3 linked regions of the Lytechinus pictus genome follow. The protein of the gene in region 1 interacts with the protein of each later gene in a pairwise test. Links are inferred from orthologs where the notes say so. Each region holds a gene or a part of one and is shown on either strand. Other genes may lie near its edges.

Region 1 (7,134 bases):
AGCCAAGGGGAAATAATAGAAAATAAAGGAGGCAGCAAAATGACATGAATGAAAAAAAATATATATGACATGATATTTGCTACGATGTAAAAATCTATCACATAATTAGAATTTCATTTTAACAGGCCATTTTTCTTTCAGGCTCGCTTCGCTCGCTGGCGACTTTTTACAAATTTTCCCACATTTGCTATGGTGTGCCCCTCACAATATTTGGATGATTACGATACACAACTGCAATTTATGTGTTGTGTAAAAGCTATATAAAATGCACGCAATTTGATTAAAATAAGTGGCCATCTGTAAGTTTTAAAATGGCTTTAATATCAAGAGGTTCCGGAGCTCTGCCCTGGACCCAACCCATAAAGCACTGTTATATGATGGATGAGTTTAGACCATGGCCCAAAAAATTCTACAACCAAACAATAAAAAATGAGGAAAGAAATGAAAGTGTATTATATTTTTCTGAATATCACGTTAAAATCTATCTTCATGTTAGATTCTCATGAATAGGTGATTTTTTTTTATCTCGCTCGCTTCGCTCGCTCGGGACCTATATTCAGCTACTTCTTGCCACAAGCGCCATAATCGGCCCCCTCGAGCATATAGAGCTTCGCCCTGATGCTCACAATCATAACAAAAATCCTGTTCACCTTGGCGAACAAAAAAGAGAGAAAAAAGGAAAGAGAGGAGAGTGTAATATGATATAATCTTTTTAACATTATGTCAAAATCTATCACAAAATTGGATTTTTGCAATAAAAATGTCAAAAATTTGTTGCTCGCTCGCATTTATATATATATTTTTGCCCGATACGCCATATCGCCCCCCTCAAAATGTTTGCCTTATGACGCCAGTGCCTGTTCCATGATATGACCGGGAAATTTTTGGCTCTTGCCCCCCTGGCCACCGACCCCTGTTACGCCGCTGTTCGGGCTAACGAACCTTCAGATCAACGAACCTTATTTCGTTTTCGGACTGATGCATGAACCTTCGGAATTACAAATCTCATTGCGTTTTCGGAATAACAAACCTTATTTTGTTCTATAGGATTAACGAAACTTCGGAAGGACGGTTCTTCGGAATAACGAATCTTTGTTATATTCGAACCTTTGGAATAACAAACTTTCGGAATTACGAATGTCAACCCGTAGAACTACCCCTTAAAAGAAACAAACAAAAATCCGCTGGATCCGCCCCTGGTTATTTTACCATTTTATACACACATTTGAATTTCACTTCTCATTTCTTGTGTTCTCCACTTGTTCTATATCATGCGCCTGCATGAATAAAGGAAATTTACATAATAAGTGATATTCAAAATAGAGTAGTAAAATAAATGGGGCACCCCCAACGTGCTTAGTTGCGGTGGGGGGGGGGGTAAATTCATGTATAAAAGCATAAACATGAACATGTTATTATATTTCATCCTGGATTTTTTTTCTCCATCCATCTGTTTGAAACAGTTTCCAAAATGAATGGTGCTTTCATTCAATAGCAATGAAAATAAGATCATTATGAGATAATTAGATATCAATGGTCATCATGCATAAATACGTTATCCATCATAACCATCATTATGATAATCTTATTATTACTGCTTAATGTTTATGTAATAATAATAATAATAATAATAATGATATCATCATCATCATCATCATTATCATTATCATTATTATTATTATCATTATATCATTAGTAGTAGTAGTAGTAGTAGTAGTAGTAGTAGTAGTAGTAGTAGTAGTAGTATTATAATTGTTCTTGTTGTTGTTGTTATTATTATTAATAATACCATACCTTAAATTATTTGGGGATGATGATTCATGACATTCCGAACTAAAAAATACATGTAGACATTTTATGATTCTAAGCACATTTTTGTAATCATGAACGGGATAGATATATCACTAATCAAGTCGTGCGAGCGCGAAGCGCGAGAGGAAAATATAGATTTCTGACCTAAAGGCCTTACTCCTCCTTTTTTTTTTTTTTTTACTAAAGTCATTATTCCTTCCCCTTGTGGTATTTTGTTCTTTCATTTCTTTTGTAAGTTTGTGACTAAACCACCTGCTGTCATTATTTCTTAATTTCTCTTTAAAGGAGAATGAAACCCTTGAAACCAGCTGAATCCATATCAAAGAGAAAAATCAAAGAAACATATTGTTGAAAGTTTGAGGAAGATTGAATGAATAATAAGAAAGTTATAAGCATTTGAATATTGAGATCAGTGGCGTAACTACGTGCCCCCCCATGCCCCCCCCCCCCCAATCGGCTGGCAAAAAAAAAAAAAAAACGGGGAAAATTAGAAAAAGAGGGAGAAAGGAAGAGAAACGCAGTGGGGAAAAAAGAAATTATGTTCATTATAAATGTTATATTATATTATAATTATGTTATATTACATAAGAAGCATGTTTTCATAACTTTATGAAACATTATTTGCTCAGGCCCTATGTCTTTATTGTTCCTGGTGCTCGCATAGACTGTTTAACGAGATATATAATCATGTTATACTAAAACCTCCCGTTTTCAAATCAATATACTGTACACCAAATATATTTCCTCGCAATTCGAGTTATTATTATTTCATGTAGTGACATTTGCTTCTTTTTCATGACTACTTAAAGTGATTGCCCGATTTAAGGTCTTAATATAAAACATTTCCTGTCTGTGCTAATGTTCGCATTAGTTATTGGTGAGATGTCTGCTCTTCATGAATTCCTAAAATCAGTCCTTAAAATGCCCATTTTTCTGATCTCAATATCAAAAATTTTCAGCTCGCGCTTCGCGCTCGCATCATTTGGTGAGTGAAATACGTACGGTCTTAGTGAATTCCTGTAAACAAGCCTTAGAATGCCCCTCTTCATGTCTGAATTTCCTAAATTTTCAGCTCGCGCTTCGCGCTCGCAGTATTTGATTAGTGAGATGCGTATAATAATCATGATTACCATGTCTACAAAAAGTGCTAAATGTGTTTAGATGTAATTCTAACAAAATCAGCAAAGGATGGCACTAGCATTAGATGACTATGCTGAGATATGTATACTCTTAATGGATTCCTAAAATACAAAAATTCCGTTTGGGGTCAATATATACAAAAATTTCAGCTCGCGCTTCGCGCTCGCATTGTTTGTTTAGCGAGGCAGGAACGTATCACGATTACAAAAAATTCGCCTATAATGTCCCTTTTTAGGTCTGAATATCAAAAATTTTCAGCTCGCGCTTCGCGCTCGCATTAAATCAGTGAGATAAATATCCGTTTAATGGCACTGCATGTCCTTAAAATGTCTCTATTAGGTCAGTATACCTGGCAACTGAGCACGCTTCGCGCGCTCCCTAAACGACTCGAAATTTTTGCTGTTGCCCCCCCCCCCAATGCCGTGACCCTCGGTACGCCACTGATTGAGATCACTAATGACATGTAGATCCTCCCATTGGCAATGCGACCAAGATCTGTGATGTCACACACGTACAACTCCCTCATTACTTTAGTACTTATTTCACTTATATATTCTCACTTTTATAGAGTCTATCACAAGGTGAGGTGTTCTCTTTATGAGAGGACAAGTACAGAGGTTTCACAACATTATATAATTGATGAATCGTTTGTCATATGATTAGAATGAGCAAAAAGAGATGTTTTGTGGTATATTTTCAGTGTCCAAAAGGGGAGAGTTGTTCATCTGTGACATCATAGATCTTCGTGGTCGCATTGCCAATGGGAGGATCTCCATAGCATTAGTGATCTCGACATTCAAATGCTCATAACTCTTCTATTGCTAGTCCTATTTTACTCAAACTTTTGTTGATCTTATTCTTTGATTTTTCTGCTTTCACAAAAGCTAACTTGCTCCAAGAGTTTCATTCTCCTTTAAAAATGAATAGTTTCTATTTCACGTGGATATGACGTCACTGGCTCGATGAACCCACAGAAATATAATACACGTTAACAATTCGTTGGATGAACCCCGTCCCAAATTTAGACGATGTGGTCATTGGGAGAGGCTTAGTCTTAGTTTTAAGCGCTTTTCAAAAATGTTATTGAAATACGACGGATAAATTAATGAAAGTCGATAATTGAATCCAAGAGAATCGTATGAATGAAACAAAAAGAAAGAAACTGTAATTTTCGTGAAAAACACTATCTAGAGTAAAAATATATTTAAAGATATAATTAGTTTTTTAAACTAATGCAGGTACATTTCAAGACTACATTACCGCACCAATTTTACGTAAACAGACAGTAGTGAGGTATAATACCAAACAGTGACAGAACTAAGTAAAATAGCGCAGAGACATCCTCTGTTGACGTCGTTAAGTTTATACCGAGCTTTTGCAACTTTCCATTATATTACGTGTATATAGATAATATAGTTCGATAATGCCTTTTGGAAAGAAGAAGGGTAAGTAAATGGGCATTCAATTCCATTTCGATATGTGTAGAAAATCAAATTGAAAGAGCCAGAGTCTGTAAGCACGTGCGATTTCTTATCCACGCAAGGATATCGGTGAAATTCAGGTTTCTGTGCTATGGGTATACATATTTCATATGGGCGTAATCGCCTTTAAATACACAGGCAAGATTATTTCCGAACATCTCGTCTGACAACTGAATGAGGAATGAAATCAGAGTCACAACAGTGGCAATTTCAATGAATCATATGCCATGTGAATCAGGACAGAACTTCAGACAGTAGTAGAGTAGGTGCAAGGCCAAAATGGGAGACTGTCTGTCTCCCATGAGAGAGATCCAAGGGCAAGACCAAGTCAATATCACTTTCATCAGAGACTTGTCTTTTAGTTTTAAAGAATTTGGGTATCCAATTTCAGAGACAGTCTCCAGTTTGGGAGACCAATTTTCTTTGTTTACATTTGCTGCAAAAGGATCACCTTGGCGGCAAGCCGGTTCCCAGTTCTCCACACGTATTATTAATTCACTGCCGAATCCAAAATGGCGAACACGAATTGCAAGACTTTTTACACAACCTTCTCATTCCCAATCTTTTACAGTATTCAACATGTTATTCCATTAATCTGCTTATTATCATGATGATCATATTGATTTGCATTAACATGGTGATCATGATAAAAAATAAGATCGTGATCATGATCATGAGAATCACAGACAGATCACCTAATTCGTCCTCATGACGAATTAAAATTCTAGTAAATTATTATTTTCAGTATCAAGTGCAAATTTGTTAGTGCTTGACATCTAGGCTAGTATTGATAAATTGTAAATTTCATGGAAGTATGTGATTGGTAATAATGGATAGTGACTATTTCTTGTTGCTTGTATTTCAGAAAAAGATGGTAAGAAGCCTTACCCCACCCAGCAGGCTGCATACCCCACACAGCAAGCAGCTTATCCTACATCAGGTGCTTATCCTGGCCAACCAGCATACAACTCACAGGTAGTTCCATCTCAACAGCCTCAGGCATACTCTGCCCCACCTCCAGGGGCTGGATACGCTGGAGCCCCACCCCCGTATTCTGCCACAGCCTCACCTCCCCCAGCATCTCAAGTAAGTTGTGATAACCAATTATACTTTCTTTAGATGTCACACTTTAATACATGTATGCACCCATTTCTGTCATAGCACACTATGACTGAAATGATATTTGTAGTATATTTCCAAAGTATGTTTGTTAAATGAAAGGCCAAAAAAAATTACAAAATATTCAATGTGAGCCACAAAATGAGAATGTTCAAAAGAAAATTATGTGATTTGTAGTATATAAGGAAGTGTATTGTAATGTATTTTTTATGTCTGGATGTGTTCAACTGCTAAAATCGTTTTCTTTGATTAATGGCATGTAATGTTACATGCATTTTATGCCAACTCACATTTTCCCAGAATTAGGCCTGTATTTCCGAGTTAATTTATTGAACAAATGCATGTGCTTGTAAATATCAAGAAAGTATGCAGGCCTGTTTTTTATTCATTACATGTAGTTATAACGTTTAAGGTAATTTTACTGAAAATTTCAACGAATGAAAGATTGGTCATACATGTACATGTACACGTAGGATAGACGGGCAAATGTATAAGTTGGAAAAACAGTGACAACTGCGGAAACATCATAAATACAAACTGAAATAAGAATTTATGTATCTAACTTAGAAAGATTGTAATTATGATGAAGAAGGAAAAGGGTGAGTTCTACTTACATGATAGATCTAAGCACTCCAATTTATTTTATTTTTAATAAAACCACTTACATTTTCATCACGATAATGATTAGATTGCAGATTTACTATTTCTTCATGAAAGCAGCTGATTTAAGTATGGAAGAACCTTTAAATAGAAAGGGCTTCCAACAAGTATTTTATTTATAATGATTCCAGATATTGGATTATTAGAATAGCCTATCACACAGACTCGTTGTTATGCAAGAAAGCACACTAGTGGAGAGATTAAAATATTGATGTATTCACATTTATTAATTACAGGCTGGTTACCCACAAGCCCCTGTGTACCAACCCCCCGCTCAAGCACAGGCAGTAGTTGTCAATGGTGGATATGATGCTGGTGCAAGATTCAACTCAAGAAATCCTCCTTCAATTCCAGTGAGTTGTTTTGATTTGTCCTGTTTTCTTATTTCTTGTTTGTTGTTGCTATTTGCTTCTATATAATATTTATGTAGTCCCACTTGACCGGGGGGGGGGGGGGGAAAGCACTTCCATTGTCCTCAAATACTTCTCAAATAGCCCAGTCCTTTTAGAGTTAAGATATTGTTAAGGGAATACTTGTCAAGGATACCGTTTTGTTTCCAATACCTGTTAAGGGGTGCATTTTCAGAACATGGAAAATACTTGTTTAGGGTGCTTTTCTAAATCCCATGGTCACGCATGGTATCCACTCGTCAATGGAAGTGCCCCCCCCCCCTCCCTGGCCCACTTGGTTGATTATATATCTTATGAAACCTTAAGGAAATTATTAAGTCGATATCAAAATTAATTTATGTACTTTTCATGTATTTCATCTTTCCACCGGTCTGCTAGAAATTGCACCTACATGTAGGCCTATGGCCCAGTCAGTTTCACTCAGCATTAATTAGGAGGCAATATTTTCACTGTTTTTTTTTTTTGGGGGGGGGTAGTTTATTGTGTTAAAACTGTTGTTGTATTCGTTAGTA
Region 2 (7,640 bases), about 14 Mb from region 1:
TGTGAAGATAATTTCATTCTCTCAGATTCATTCTCAAGTTGTGCAATAGCTGTAATAGAAACAAAAAATATCCAAATATTTAAAAATGTGAAATTTATCTACTAAAAGAAAATTGATAAATCCTATAATAATTTTTTTTTTCAAAAAGCGAGCGTGTGACATATAGACTTTCTCACTAGCATCTATGCTGTGCATATTTTGTCAAAATAAGCAATTTTTTTTTCATTTTCCATTTGATTTTGATGAAATCTATTTATTCAATTAACCTGCTCTTGGGCTAGACTTGATCTTTAATTAAGGCGCACAAGCAGAGAATTCATATGACCATTACACCACCTGATTGACAACACATGGTAGTGTATCCTATTGCCAGACACCTTTATTTCAGTGTTTTACAAATGACAATTAGAGGAAATGCAATCAAGACAAATTCACACTTGCTATTCCAAATATCAGGAAAATTATGAATATGGTAAATTATTTGATATTTACCAACCATTTTATTTGCATCGCACTTGCCGCATACCCCTCCACGAAAAACAATTATTTTCGTGTGTGACAAATTACATCATGATTCCGGACGGGTGACAAAAGGGAGAAGGGTGAAGATATTCTTGTCTAATAATGATGTAAGAAAGAATTTGTGTGATAATTTTTTTATGTATCACATCATGCGTAAACTCTAAGTTTTGATTGCTTTTTTCATATCGAATCTGAGCAGATGTTGGTAATAAATTTGTGTTTTCTAGATCTAACGAATTCTATTTTTTCTTGTTAGCTTTCCAATATTATGCTCGTTCATATCGTGATGCTTATCAAGTTCTATCCATGCGCCGTCGATGGCTATACTCACGTTAAACATCACGCACAGTATAACCTGGAGTCTAGCCGTCGACGATCACCCACAATACACCACACGTCAACATTCGATCGAAGGCACAGATGAGATTGAAATTTGGCAAATTAGGCCAAAAATTCCGTCAGAAAATATATCAATTGTTAATGCAAAACTATGCTGTATGATATTTTAAGCATTATCTGTCATTTTAGAGATAAATAAGGAAAAAGTTAGATTTTTTTCGACTTTGAAATCTTGTTCCATGTATTGCTCTGTTGAAAAATTGAAATGCTGAAGTCTTACGGTACGAAATCGTTGAGTATGCAATATACATGTACACGTCTGGAATCATGATAAGTGTCCAGTAATACAATACGTGACTAGATGTATACCCTGTGCTTTGACTGATGCTGAAGCTGCTGATCCTGGTCTTGCTGCACCAGGACCTGGAGTAAGTCTACTCAGTGCTGCCTGGCCTGCCATCTGAGAACTAGTAGTAGGCTGCATTCTTGGGGCTACTGGTTTAGATTGACCAGATGTACTGGATGGAAAAAAAGGAAAAGAATTTAGAATAAAACATATCTCGTCAAATATAAAACAGGATTGAATAATATTTAATAGATTAGATTTTAGACTGAAATGAGTTCTATGCCTGCCCTTGGAATTTGAAGTTGATATTTTGAATGGAAAAAGATTGGATAAATGGAAGTTTTGTGTCCAAAAGCGATTTATAATCATCTACTGTATTGAAGTGTGACGTCATCAATTTTCCATTTTTGCATGTCACTTTTTTTTATACCATATTTTGGCTGAGCATGATGAAAACCCCCACAGCCCAAATTTGGTGGGAATCGGTCAAGTCAAGACATGTCATAGGGCCTGGGTCTAGAATTCTTATTCATGGCATGAGAATATAGCCTCCTTCAATTTCTATTTAGTAATTAGTATTAGTAACTGTATAGGCCTAGCTGTAAGTAACAATTCAACTGAATCTTGTTATGGAATTTTAGAAATCCATTTTTAATCGTACTATTTTGCTTATTACTATGGCATATTATGCCTGCCTAGCTTAGACCAAAAGCTTCGGTCTCTGTTATGTTGGTTGCTCCGCTGAATCAACTCCGTTGGCTCCACTCACCAAATACAGAGACCGAAGTTCTAGCTCGATCTGTACAGGTGTATTGTATTGGTTATTCGGATCAACCAGAGAAGTGGGAGTTGCGCGACAGCCGAAGTCACTGTTTTTTTCCCCTTTTAAGTTTATTTTTTCCCGTTTTGGTGCATTTCGGGCCAGAACGGAATAATAATCTTTACTTTGGTATGGTATAGTGGATTGTATTACCGAACACTTTTCATGAATTCAATTATATCAAACACATTATTCTCATAAAATTCACCAAAATTTCACGATAAATACACAATAACCGGTACCTACAAAATATAGGTTATGTAAAAATTTTGCCGAAATCGTTTTTCCTTTTTACGATTTCAGCTTCCAATCGGACCCCTCTTCGCATATGAAATATTTTGGTCACTTGAAAAAGGTATCGTGGCTACACGATACTGATAGCGAGCCGTCTGTGTTCAAGAGAAATAATTTTTTTTTAACTCCTCGAAACAGACGGCTGCCAGCTGTTTAGCATATGCCATAACATAAGCAAAGCCAAAGGGCAACGACTGAAAAATGGTGTAGTCCCATAAATGGCAAACCGTGTCATGCAAAGTTCGAAAGAACAAAAAATAGTTTTAGTCTAACCGTTAGTTCAATTAAATATTAAATAGCAAATACCTGGGCTGTGGCGTACTTTCGTTCAATTTTACTCCATGACCAGCTCTCTTGAATTTCATATCCGTTTTCTTTTTGTCGAAGAATTCCCCAATCTTCTTCATTTTGAACAATAAATTTCGAAACGGCAGCCAACAAAACGAGAGATGAATCAGATAATATTCATAGGGTCTAACGTAACATTAGATGTAAACAATAAACAGCGCCAACATCTCGAGTCGAAGCCGGCTAGAGTAAATTAATTCAATTCAGTTTAGGTAAATATCACAAGAGAGTAGAGTAAGTATATCATAAAACTGGCGGATCAAACAACATAGAAAAGCAAGCGGCTTGAAAATTGGGGGGGATCTATTTTAGGATCCACAGCACAGTGTCAGATGTAAAGTTAGTCGGACCCCCGCAAGGGGCGTTCGTCCCCTAGAAAATTGCCCATTGAACATTAATTTAGCTAAATCCGTCTATGAAAAATTTAATCTGCGCCCAACATTTGTTGGTTGCGCCCCCTCCGTTTCAAATCCTGGATCCCATATTCCGCCACTGGATACATATCACACAAATAATAATTGAATGATACAATGAATGCACCAAATGTTACTTGTATTTTCAAAGAATAATGTTTGCTGTATAATAAAAGGAAGTGATAAGTAGCAAAATGGAATGACAAAACAAAGCAAAACAAAAATATATCACATTGATTGATGGATTCGTTATGTACATATATATATATATATATATATATATATATATATATATATATATATATATATATATATATATGAAGTAAGAATGCTCATCTGTAAAATTGTACTTGATTTATATTACTTTATATTACTTTGTATTATGTTTTGACTGGAAATAGAATAAAGATTGAATTGAATTGAACTGAATTGAATATATACAAAGCAAGTCATCCGTTTATGTTCTAACACACATTTGCCCATGCCCCATCTCTTTTCAATATATTCAACACGATTAATTATAATGCTAAGATTAATACCGTCATATAGTATCAATAATGGTTTACATTGAATTTGTTATAAGAGGAATTGTAAGAGCAATTACATTCATTTATTAAGTTATTTCCTCTTTAAGGATATTCATAGCATAGAATGATTAAGAATATTCCAACATGTCTCACTAAAGCTTTGTTACTCATGAATGTTCTTTAATAGGCCGAGGAATTTTGTTATTTCTGAATAGAGACTGCAACACAAAGAGATTCCAAGTGGTTGTGGTAATGAACAATAGGATTAGCTATGTTGTTTATTTCACTGAGGTCATTCAAGAATGTTCTAAAATTAGACTGCTCTAGAAATTGGCAGAATGTTCTTTTTGTAGACAATACTAGAAGCTTCCATAATAGTAAATAATTTGTATATAAGCTGACAGTTTCTTCAAGGACATCATTACATCATATCAGATCAGAACTCAGAGTTTCACACCAGACTTTATGTCAGAGCAGAGTTTATTTCCAACCGGAATATTTATCCTCTGTGGTATTATTTGCACGCCATCAATGAACTGTTTGCAGTTTTTTTTTGAGAGAGGAATTCTCAGTTCTCATCGAGATCATCAACCTGTTTTAATGAACGCTTTTCAACCCATGGATTGCTGAAATTGACTGTTAATCATCATCAACATCGTCTTCATGGACATTTCAACATGTTACAGTGACTCTTGTTATTCATCGTGCTTCAACATCGATTTCATCATCGCCATCATTGTGAACTTTAATTTAAGGAATCTTCGCCAACCAACTGGGATTTAATTTGGATATACTATCTTAACCTTGGATTGTGCATCTGACACTTCAAGAGACGTAAAACCATTATTATTTTTTATTTGTTTGTGTATGGTTAATTATATTTCCTGTAATAAAAAAAGGAAATCAAATTTAAAACTAAATTTTCATTGTTATTTGTTGCAGTATCGTAACAAATTCAATGATCATTTTCTTATCATTGATAAAAATGTAATATAAAGTTTTCAATATGAGAACTAAGGTCATAATGATATATATGGTTATGATAATATATATGCTTATAATATATATATATATATTTATATATATATATACACACATATATATATAGGCGTAAAATAATCCAGGCATTGAAGCTAGACGTAGTTTTCAAGGTATCTCATTTAATGCTAGCTTTCGGCCAGTAGGGCCTTCATCAGGCCATTATGTATTGAAACAAACAAAATAGAACAAAACCATAAAACCATACAAATAAAATCGTCAATGCCTGGATTAGCACTGCAACACACGTTGTGCAAAGGGCTCTCTTCCTTTATATATATATATATATATGGCCCGGTTTCTGAATTCGGGTTTAACTTTGACCACGGTCTAACGTGTTACTCTGTTCTAAAATTATGGGATGCCAAAAAATTGTAAATCCTGTTAATAATACATTTTTTCTTATCTTTACTATTTTGTTTTCTTTTGCTTTCATAATGAAGGAAATACTTCAGATATCATTCATAGACAATTATGGATAATTTTAGTGTCAAATGAGTTAATAAATTGGATGTGTGCTGTTAAGGATTTGTGCCCCAATGGGCTCTCCATAGTTAAACCACAACTTTAAATCACGGTGTAATTTAAACCTGAGTTCAGAATACAGGCATTTCTATCCCCTCCTATTGAGAACCTACTGACATCTTGAGCTCTCCGGAGTCAATAACTAGTGACAGAGCGACACCTGTCCTTATTCAAAATATCAAGAAATATATAGAGATTATTATCTCGTATAATATGTATCTGTTGAAAATTTTGAAATTAAAAATCATGTTAAATTGAATTGAATTTTTCATCATCATCATCATTATCATCATCGTCATCATCAGACCATAATCACCACCACCACCATCACCATAATCATCATCATCATAATCATCATCATCATCATTATCATCATCATCACCACCATAATCATCATCACCATCATCTTCACCATAATCTTCACCACCACCACCACCATAATCATCATCATCATCATCATCGTCATCATCATCATCATCATCTTCACCACCACCACCACCACCACCACCAGCATAATCATCATCACCATCATTTTCACCACCACCACCACCACGATCATCATCATCACCATCATCATTATCATCATCACCACCATAATCATCATCGCCATCGTCTTCACCATCATCTTCACCACCACCACCACCAAGATCATCATCATCATCTTCATCATCGTCATCATCATCTTCACCACCACCGCTTCCACCATATTCATCGTCATCATCATCATCATCATCATCTTCACCACCACCACGATCATCATCATCATCATCATCACCATCCTCATCATTATCATCATCACCACCATAATCATCATCACAATCATCTTCACCATAATCTTCACCACCACCACCATAATCATCATAGTCATCATCATCATCATCATCATCACCATCATTTTCACCACCACCACCAGCATAATCATCATCACCATCATCTTCACCACCACCACCACCACCACGATCATCATCATCATCATCGTCATCATCATCACCATCATTATCATTATCATCATCACCACCATCATCTTCACCGCCACCACCACCATCACCACCACCATAATCATCATCGTCGTCATCATCATCATCATCGTCATCATCATCATCTTCTTCACCACCACCATCACCACCATAATCATCATCATCACCAACATCATTCATGTAGGCCTAGATCAACACCGCTAAAGGTCAAATGTTTATCATAGGGGCCAACTCTTAACCGAGAGAAACGCACCACCGAAACGTTGATTAGTTTATGATCACAACATATTTTATATAGTTTATGAAATAATAGTGCCTACAATATCTTCTGGGTGCTGCATTGTGGCGTGCGCCTGTAATACATGGAGGAAGTATAAATTAACTGATGCAGAGGTCCGAGGTTCTAGCCATGGTGCACGTCTTTGAGATGGTGATGTTTAAGCCTGTTTAACCCTTAAATGACTGGGGGCATGATGCTCCCCCTCAACGTTTCGTGCAATATTTCCAAAACGCAAAAAAAGATAGCACCGCAAAATTTTATGACTTTTTTTTTGAGGTCTCGCGCAACTTTTGAGACAAAATTCGCGACATAGGGGAGACCGGGGTTAATTGGCACATTTTTGACAAAATGGCTGTAAAATCCAAATAGATTTTATTCGAGAAACAATCAATATATCAGCTTGAAGCATATATCTAAGGGCTTCAAAATAATGTACCCCATAAAATTTTCAACTCTATTATGGTTACTGAAAAAAATCCACCTTGAACAAGACCATCGCAAACGTTCCAACTTACCCCAATACGGGGTAAGTTGGAACATGGTATGGGGTACGTTGGAACACTGCATGGTCAATTAAGAATTATACTAAAACTACTTAAAACTGTAATATTACATGGTTTTAGCCTATTTGCTTTATTTTTTCAAGTTCAAAATATTTAAAGTGTGGATTTGTTGAACTTTATGTTTTCTATTATACAGCCACTCACGCAAGCACACTGTGTAGTAGAATTCCGCGTATTTGGGTGCGTTCGATTTTACATGCAATTAAGTGTACTATCAGCAATTTCATGTACTTCTGCATCAAATTTACAAGACAAAAATTAATTATTTATATTTTTTTCATTAATCAATTATGCAAATAAGCATATGAAATTTGCCCTAAATTTTTTTTTTGCCTTTAACCATATTTATTAAGCTAGTAGAATGCTAATTTTTGGTGAGAGTATCAATTTTCACATTTATAACAAATATCCACCAAAAATTGCCAAAAATGTAATTTCTTATGCATTTTTTGTTTTTTTATTTGTATTTCTTTGTTTTTTTTAACCTTTGTTTTTTCGATGAACTTTGTCGGGACTCTTTTGCGATCATAAATAGCATGAAATAAATCTATTTGATCAAACAAAAGTAAAAAATAATCATACATTTATGACTTTTGGTTGAAAAACACAATTTGCATTGACCTTGTACATGGAATCACGTTTTTGAGC
Region 3 (6,947 bases), on another chromosome or scaffold:
ATGCAATGAGCGTATACTGATGAAACGGCAGCTCGATCTAAATCCGGGGTAATAATATTCGCGCTGTGTAGTCTGGAAAAAACGAGACTATACCAGCAATCATTTTTTTACCTCTAAACGAGGGATTTTATGCGGCATAATTAGCTTAATATCACAATATTTTCTCCAGTAATCTCTCATCTCGTAAGATATATTGTTTGAGCAAGATACTAATAATAATCATCATCATCATTATTATTATATTCATTATTGTGTTTATTATTTATATATATATATATTAGCATCATTTACCCAGGGAAGACAGGAGGAGGAGGAGGAGGGGAAGGAGGAGGAAGAGGAGGAGGGCCGGAGGAGGAAAAGGAGGAGGGGGAGGGGAGGAGGAGGAGGCATGGGCGGAAAACCCATGCAGGGGGGACAGGGGGGACGCGTCCCCCCTACCATTTTGGAAAGGGGGGACATACTATCAAATGTCCTCCCTACTATTTGTGGTCTTTCATTATGGGAAAAAAATACATAATTCAAAATTGAAATTATACACATGTATCCTCGAATTTCGAAATATATATAAACAGATAGTTTTTGTTAAGAACTTGGGTAGGAAAAGAAAAGGCATACCGGCCCGACTATTCTCGAACTCGCATCTAGCCCTATATGCCAGCCAAAGAGTGATGACATTGATGACATCGATGGCCATTGTCAATTTCATAACTAATAAAAATGACGAAAAAAAGATAATCGCCTCTGGATACTTATAAGTAAATTTAGTGCATAGATGGTAGACGACAATGTTCCATACCTCGTAAAAACATACCTTTGTTAAACCAATTCATTTTCCCTTTATTCCAAATTTACTTGGAATATAAGAATATTTTCATTGTTCGCGTACTCAGTAAAAATAATAGTTTTCATGAGTTATGATTAATCCTTCGCAGTGAATTTTAACTATGTTTAATCCCCCAAAATTTGTTTTAAATACTCTATTAACGAGACTTTTATATTCAATTTTTACACAAAATTCCTGCCGTGGGAGGGGTCATCATAGGTAGATCAAGGGGCGAAGCGGCGGCCCGCCCCCTATTGGGGCGGCGCAAAATAGGAAGGTGAGGAGAAAAATAAGAAGAAAGATAGGACGAGGAAGAAAATTAAATGGTGGAAGGGGAGGGGAATAATTGAAAAAAAAAAGCTTTCAGGTCATAGTATAAAGATTAAAAAATCGCTCGCGCTTTGCATTAATACACAGCCATCTCATTATTTCAAAACGTGCTTAAATTTTTTCACTTTTTAGATCGAAATATATAAAATCAAATCATTTATTTACTAGGAAGATATCCATCTTTTTCATAATTTGTAGGCTTAAATCTTTAAAAAAAAATAGCTCACACTTTGCGCTCGCATTGCTTATTGAGATAAGCTGCTTGTTCTTAATTTCAAAAGTGCTTGAAAGATCCAGTTTTCAGATCTGAATATTAAAAAAAATTTCGCGCTTCACGCTCGCATCAGTAATATTATGGTTGAGTCAGATACTATCCTGTTTATTGCTATAAGGTGAAAAGAAGATGACTTTTTGGTCGGAAAATTAAAAAAGATCAGGATACGCTTCGCGCTCACATTAATTAAAATTTAGTTAGATAGCTACCCTGTCCTTGATTTTAAAATATGCTAATGTACCAATTTTTAGGCCGGAAATGACATCTTCAGCACACACTTCGCGCTCGAATCTATATTTTTAGTAAAATTCATAACCTGTTCATGATTTGAAAATGTGTTATGATTGTCCAGTTTTTAGGTTGGAAAATACAAACTTTCAGCTCGCGCTACGCGCCTGCATTAATTATTTAGATTCCTATCCTGTTCATAATTGAAAAAAAGTACTAAGAATGTCCAGTATTTAGGTTGGAAAATCAAAAACTTTCACCTCTTGCTTCACGCTCGCATTAATTGTTTAGATACCTATCCTGTTCATTAATTTTTTTTTTAAGTACTAAGAATGTCTATAGTATTTAGGTTGGAAAATCAAAAACTTTCAGCTCGCGCTCGCGTTAATATTATTGATTAGATTCCTATCCTGTTCATATTCTTTTTAAGGTGCTATATGAATGTCCAGTTTTTAGGTTGGAAAAAAAACTTTCAGCTCGCGCTTCGCGCTCGCATTCATTGTTTAGATTCCTATTCCGTTCATTATTAAGTGCTAAGAATGTCAAGTTTTTATGTTGGAAAATAAAAAACGATTAGCTCGCGTTTAACGCTCGCATTAATTGTTTGCATTCATATCCTGTTCATATTCTTTTTAAAGTGCTATGAATGTCCAGTTTTTAGGTTGGAAAATCAAAAACTGTCAGCTCGCGCTTCACGCTCACATTAATTGTTTAGATTCCTATCCTGTTCATGATTTTTATAAAACTGTTAAGAATGTCCAGTTTTTAGGTTGGAAAATAAAAAACTTTCAGCTCGCGCTCGCATCTATTATTTAGTTGAATTCCTATTCTGTTAATGATTTGCAAAAGTGTTACGAATGTCTAGTTTTTAGGTTGGAAAATCAAAAACTTTCAGCTCGCGCTTCGCGCTCACATTAATGGTTTAGCTTCTAGGTTCTAGTTCATGATCACAAAAATGTTCAGAATGTTCAATTTCCAGGTCACAATTTATGAAATATCAACATATTTGGACTCGCGCTCGCATAATTTTATTGAGGCCTTTCATCTTTAGTTAGGAATACCTCCCCTCTTCGAAATATGTATAGTCACGTATTGTATTACCGGACACCATTGTGATTCCGGACGCGCATATAAATGCGTTCGAAAACAATTTCGTACCGTAAGACTTTCACAATTCATTTTCACAGATCAATATACATAGAACAAGATTGCAAAAACAAGGCGAAAAAATCAAACTTTTACCTTATTTATCTCTAAAATGACAGAAAATGCTTAAAATATCATATAACATAGTTTTACATTAACAATTTATATATTTTCTAACGGAAATATGGGCCTGATTCAGTGCCGAATGTCAATCTCGTCGGCTCCTTCGATCGAATGATGAGGTGAGGTGTATTGTGGGTGATCGTCGACGGCTAGTTCTCAAGGTACCGTGCGCGAGGTTTACCGTGAGTAGAGCCGTCGACGATCGGCAGCGCATCGATAGAACTTGATGAGCGTCACGATACGAACGAGCACTGGAAAGTGCCATGAAACATGCAGCTAACCAAAAAATAAAAAATAAATTAAGTTATCAAACACGAATTTATTACCAACATCTGCTCAGATTCGATATAAAAAAAGCAAACAAAAAGTTAGAATTTATTCATGATATGATATAAGAAGAAAAAAAAATCACAGAAATTTGTTCTTACATCATTATAATCAAGGATATCTTCACCCGTCTGGCGCGCGTCCGGAATCATGATGTAATTTGTCGCGCACGAAAATAATTGTTTTTCGTGGAGGGGTATGCGGCAAGTGTGATGCAAAGAAAATGGTTGGTAAATATCAAATAATTTTATCATATTAATAATTTTCATATAATATTTGGAATAGCAAGTGCGATTTTTTCTTGATTGTATTTCCTCTAGTTGTCATTTTTAAAGCACTGAAATAAAGGTGTCCGGCAATAGGATACACTGCCATATATATATATATATATATATATATATATATGTATATATATGTGTGTGTGTATGTGTGTGTGTGTGTTTGAGTTAGTAATTCTGTAGAACATAAAAACAGAAACTGAATTGTGTCTCCCCCCCCCCTACCTTCAAGGAGAGATTTCCGCCCATGGGAGGAGGAGGAGGAGAAGGAAGGCCGGAGAAGAATATACCGGTAAGACTGAGTCAGGTTTGAGTCTAGCGCCATCTCTTGCTCTAGATCTATATACCGCGGCGGTACGTAAAATAAAAAAAACCGAAGTTGGTGAGAAATATGGCGCTTGTTTGCAACATTTAGAATCGTTGAAGTGAACTTTGTTTAGGTTTTTCAGCTTTCCATCAGAAACACATAAACATCAGTATGTGGCACGAAGCAAGGAGGCAAGAACGGTTAATCCGTGGAATGATGGTAGATTACAAGAAAAGAGCAGAGAGGCGTCGAGAATACTACGAAAAAATCGTAAGTAGACTACGGTACCGTACCGGTACCGGTACGTAGATGTAGGACTCTAGGAGTGAGGACTAGCGCCGCGCCCCGACCCGTAAGGCCTTAAGTTAGAGTTAGACTTCACTCGGACTATTGGGAGAATCTCGGCCGGGGGCCGATTGCACGAAAGGGTCTTTCCAAATCCAAGGACCGTCTTTCGTGTCGCCCATCTTTTATGATGCGCTATAAGCGGGGTGTTTCTGAAATTTATGATAAACAAATAAAATTCGTAAGCTTGCTTTTAAATCAAATTTTATACAATTTCATGAGATATCACATCATTTTATAAACAAATATTTTGTTTATTTTAACGAACAAATAAAATATATTTGCAGATAATTTATTTGAAATGCGATTCACATGGCATATCATAAAAGATGGGCGACACGAAAGACGGTCCTTGGAAAGACCCTTTCGTGCAATCGGCCCCTGAGTTCCGGCGTCCAGCATGTCCAGCTAACCCAGGCCAGGGCAGGTTATAGCCTAACCCAGGGAGCGCCGGCCCGCGCGAAGCGGGCCGGCGCCCAGGAGCTCACCGTGTATTTACCCATACTCACGGGACAAGGGTAGGGCCTAGATTATGGTCAAAATATCTAGCAAGATAAATTGTGAAAACAGAAATTATGCACTTACCACAATTATAATATGGATGAAGGTCTATCGAGTGGTAGAATCCTGACATCGAGACACAGACTGGGCGAACCTCAAAAAACGAAAAGTTCTCTCCTACCCCAGTCTCGATCGGCCATTTTTGTTATGAATATGATTATGAATCATAACAAAATGGCCGATCCAGACTGGGGTAAAAGGAGAGAACTTTTCTTTTTTTGAGGTTCCAGTCTGTGCCTCGATGTCAGGATTCTACCACTCGATAGACCTTCATCCATATAATCGTGGTAAGTGCATAATTTCTGTTTTTACAATTTATCTTGTTAGATATTTTGACCATAATCTACCCTTGTCCCGTGAGTATGGGTAAATATACCTCATCGCTGATCGATCGCGATCGCATGCGATGTTTTGAAATAGGCTGTGAATAATATGTGTGAGGAAAAAGATACTGGCCCAAAATCACCAATTTTGAGGATAACCGTAGGATGGACACGGAGTAAAATACGGGTGCAGAGTAAGATATTAAGTCATTCATATCCCTCGTTATAATTTTTTTCTTTAATTTTTACGATACCCATAATTGCCATCCCACCTTTTATGACTCGGAATATCCGATCTAGTTCACTGTCCCGATGTTCGGGTAGGTGGAGGGTAGTGTAGCGGTAGTGAAGTGGAGTGGAGCCTGCACGAACATCGCCTGAGGTAGGGTAAATACACGGTGAGCTCCTGGGCGCCGGCCCGCTTCGTGGGCTGTCGCTCCCTGGGTTAGTTATAGCCTTGTCCTTGAGGACTCCATGATGATGTTTTTTAATATTTTGACATATACTTCTTCATCATGGAGCCTTGACACTCTTCCCATAGACGCAGAAGCGAGACCTGACACCCGGATGGATTTCCCTAGGTAGAAATCCATAGACCATGTAGGCTATTAGTATAAATTAGATTCCTCTACACAATAGAGGAAGTTCTGTAACTAGAACTTGGATTGCAGGTCATGCTGAAATTCATGGAAATGTAATTGCAGACAGACTGGCAAAGGAGGCTGCTTACCATGCACGCAATGCTCCACCTCCCTCTTCATCCACTTCATATGCAAGTATCACCAAGAACATCAAGAAGAACACTGTAAGACTCTGGCAAAGGCGATGGAATATAACCACCAAGGGTAGATGGACCTATCAGCTTCAGCCAAATGTTACTAGAAAGAAAGCCTCCAGTAAATATGAAAGGTCAACAAAGGTCAAGATCATGAGGATGCTAACTGGACAGACTAAGCTCAGAGACCATATGCACAGAGTACTCCCTCGTGTATGCCCTACACCCACATACAACTGTGAACATGACAGGCAGACAATTGAACATGTCCTTCTTCACTGCCCACTCCACAAGTCGCATAGAGAGGAGATGATGCAATCCATTGACGTTGGATATCAAAGGACAAGCACCCCCTCCTATCTTCGAGATATATCCCTCTTTTCCCTCCTTGGGACTAACCCCTAATTGTCACCCCAAATGCAATCTATAATAGCATCTTCTTTGGCTCGCTTCATCAAAAGCACCAATGCCAACTAGCACCAGTATCTAAGCAAATAGTACCTAGCAGCTCATCAACCTTGTGACAGACACACTGAGAGTATACCGAGGAGATCATTTGGGTGTGGAAACGACCCACAACAAACAACAACAACAACAACATAAATTAGACATAACGTTAGAGGGTGAAATCGTTTTGTACAGGGGAATTTTATTGATATTTGAACCTTCAAACTCCTAATGCATATGAAGGTTCCAAAATTTGGTTAATAAAAAAGAGAAACTTTTAAGGTTTATTACCAGACCGATCTCGTGTAGATCCCTCGATCCGTTTGTCAACAAAGCAAATACAATACTAGGTCTGACCCTTGAATCGCTTCGTTATGACGTGCACTCGTTTAGCGATGTTACAAAATGCCGTTTTGAAGAACAATTTATAGATACAAATTATTATTTAACAAATACTTAAATTTAATACGTGATTATAAACAATTTATAGATACAAATTATTATTTAACAAATACTAAAATTTAATACGTGATTATAAATTATTATTTATAATCACGTATCAAATTTTAGTATTTGATTAATAATAATTTGTATCTATAAATTGTTCTTCAAAACGGCATTTTGTAACATCGCTAATCGAATGTACGTCATAACAAAGCG

The links. The genes of interacting proteins can lie anywhere in the genome.
Region 2: the proteins of DAZ-associated protein 2-like (region 1) and UBX domain-containing protein 6-like interact in binary tests that used the Homo sapiens proteins (3 or more experiments, as listed by UniProt). The link is inferred for Lytechinus pictus from reciprocal best matches to the Homo sapiens genes DAZAP2 and UBXN6.
Region 3: the proteins of DAZ-associated protein 2-like (region 1) and CLK4-associating serine/arginine rich protein-like interact in a two-hybrid assay, tested with the Homo sapiens proteins (2 studies listed by BioGRID and IntAct). The link is inferred for Lytechinus pictus from reciprocal best matches to the Homo sapiens genes DAZAP2 and CLASRP.

What each region holds. Positions count from the first base shown.
Region 1 is NC_087247.1:61,784,179-61,791,312, forward strand, and holds the start of DAZ-associated protein 2-like, read left to right. Parts: upstream 1-4,034; 5' UTR 4,035-4,375; coding exon 4,376-4,397; intron 4,398-5,298; coding exon 5,299-5,519; intron 5,520-6,448; coding exon 6,449-6,565; intron 6,566-7,134. UniProt on the Homo sapiens protein: In unstressed cells, promotes SIAH1-mediated polyubiquitination and degradation of the serine/threonine-protein kinase HIPK2, probably by acting as a loading factor that potentiates complex formation between HIPK2 and ubiquitin ligase SIAH1.
Region 2 is NC_087247.1:47,551,422-47,559,061, forward strand, and holds the start of UBX domain-containing protein 6-like, read right to left. Parts: upstream 3,103-7,640; 5' UTR 2,729-3,102; coding exon 2,628-2,728; intron 1,380-2,627; coding exon 1,231-1,379; intron 50-1,230; coding exon 1-49. UniProt on the Homo sapiens protein: May negatively regulate the ATPase activity of VCP, an ATP-driven segregase that associates with different cofactors to control a wide variety of cellular processes.
Region 3 is NC_087251.1:20,022,501-20,029,447, reverse strand, and holds the start of CLK4-associating serine/arginine rich protein-like, read left to right. Parts: upstream 1-3,845; 5' UTR 3,846-4,007; coding exon 4,008-4,106; intron 4,107-6,947. UniProt on the Homo sapiens protein: Probably functions as an alternative splicing regulator. May regulate the mRNA splicing of genes such as CLK1. May act by regulating members of the CLK kinase family.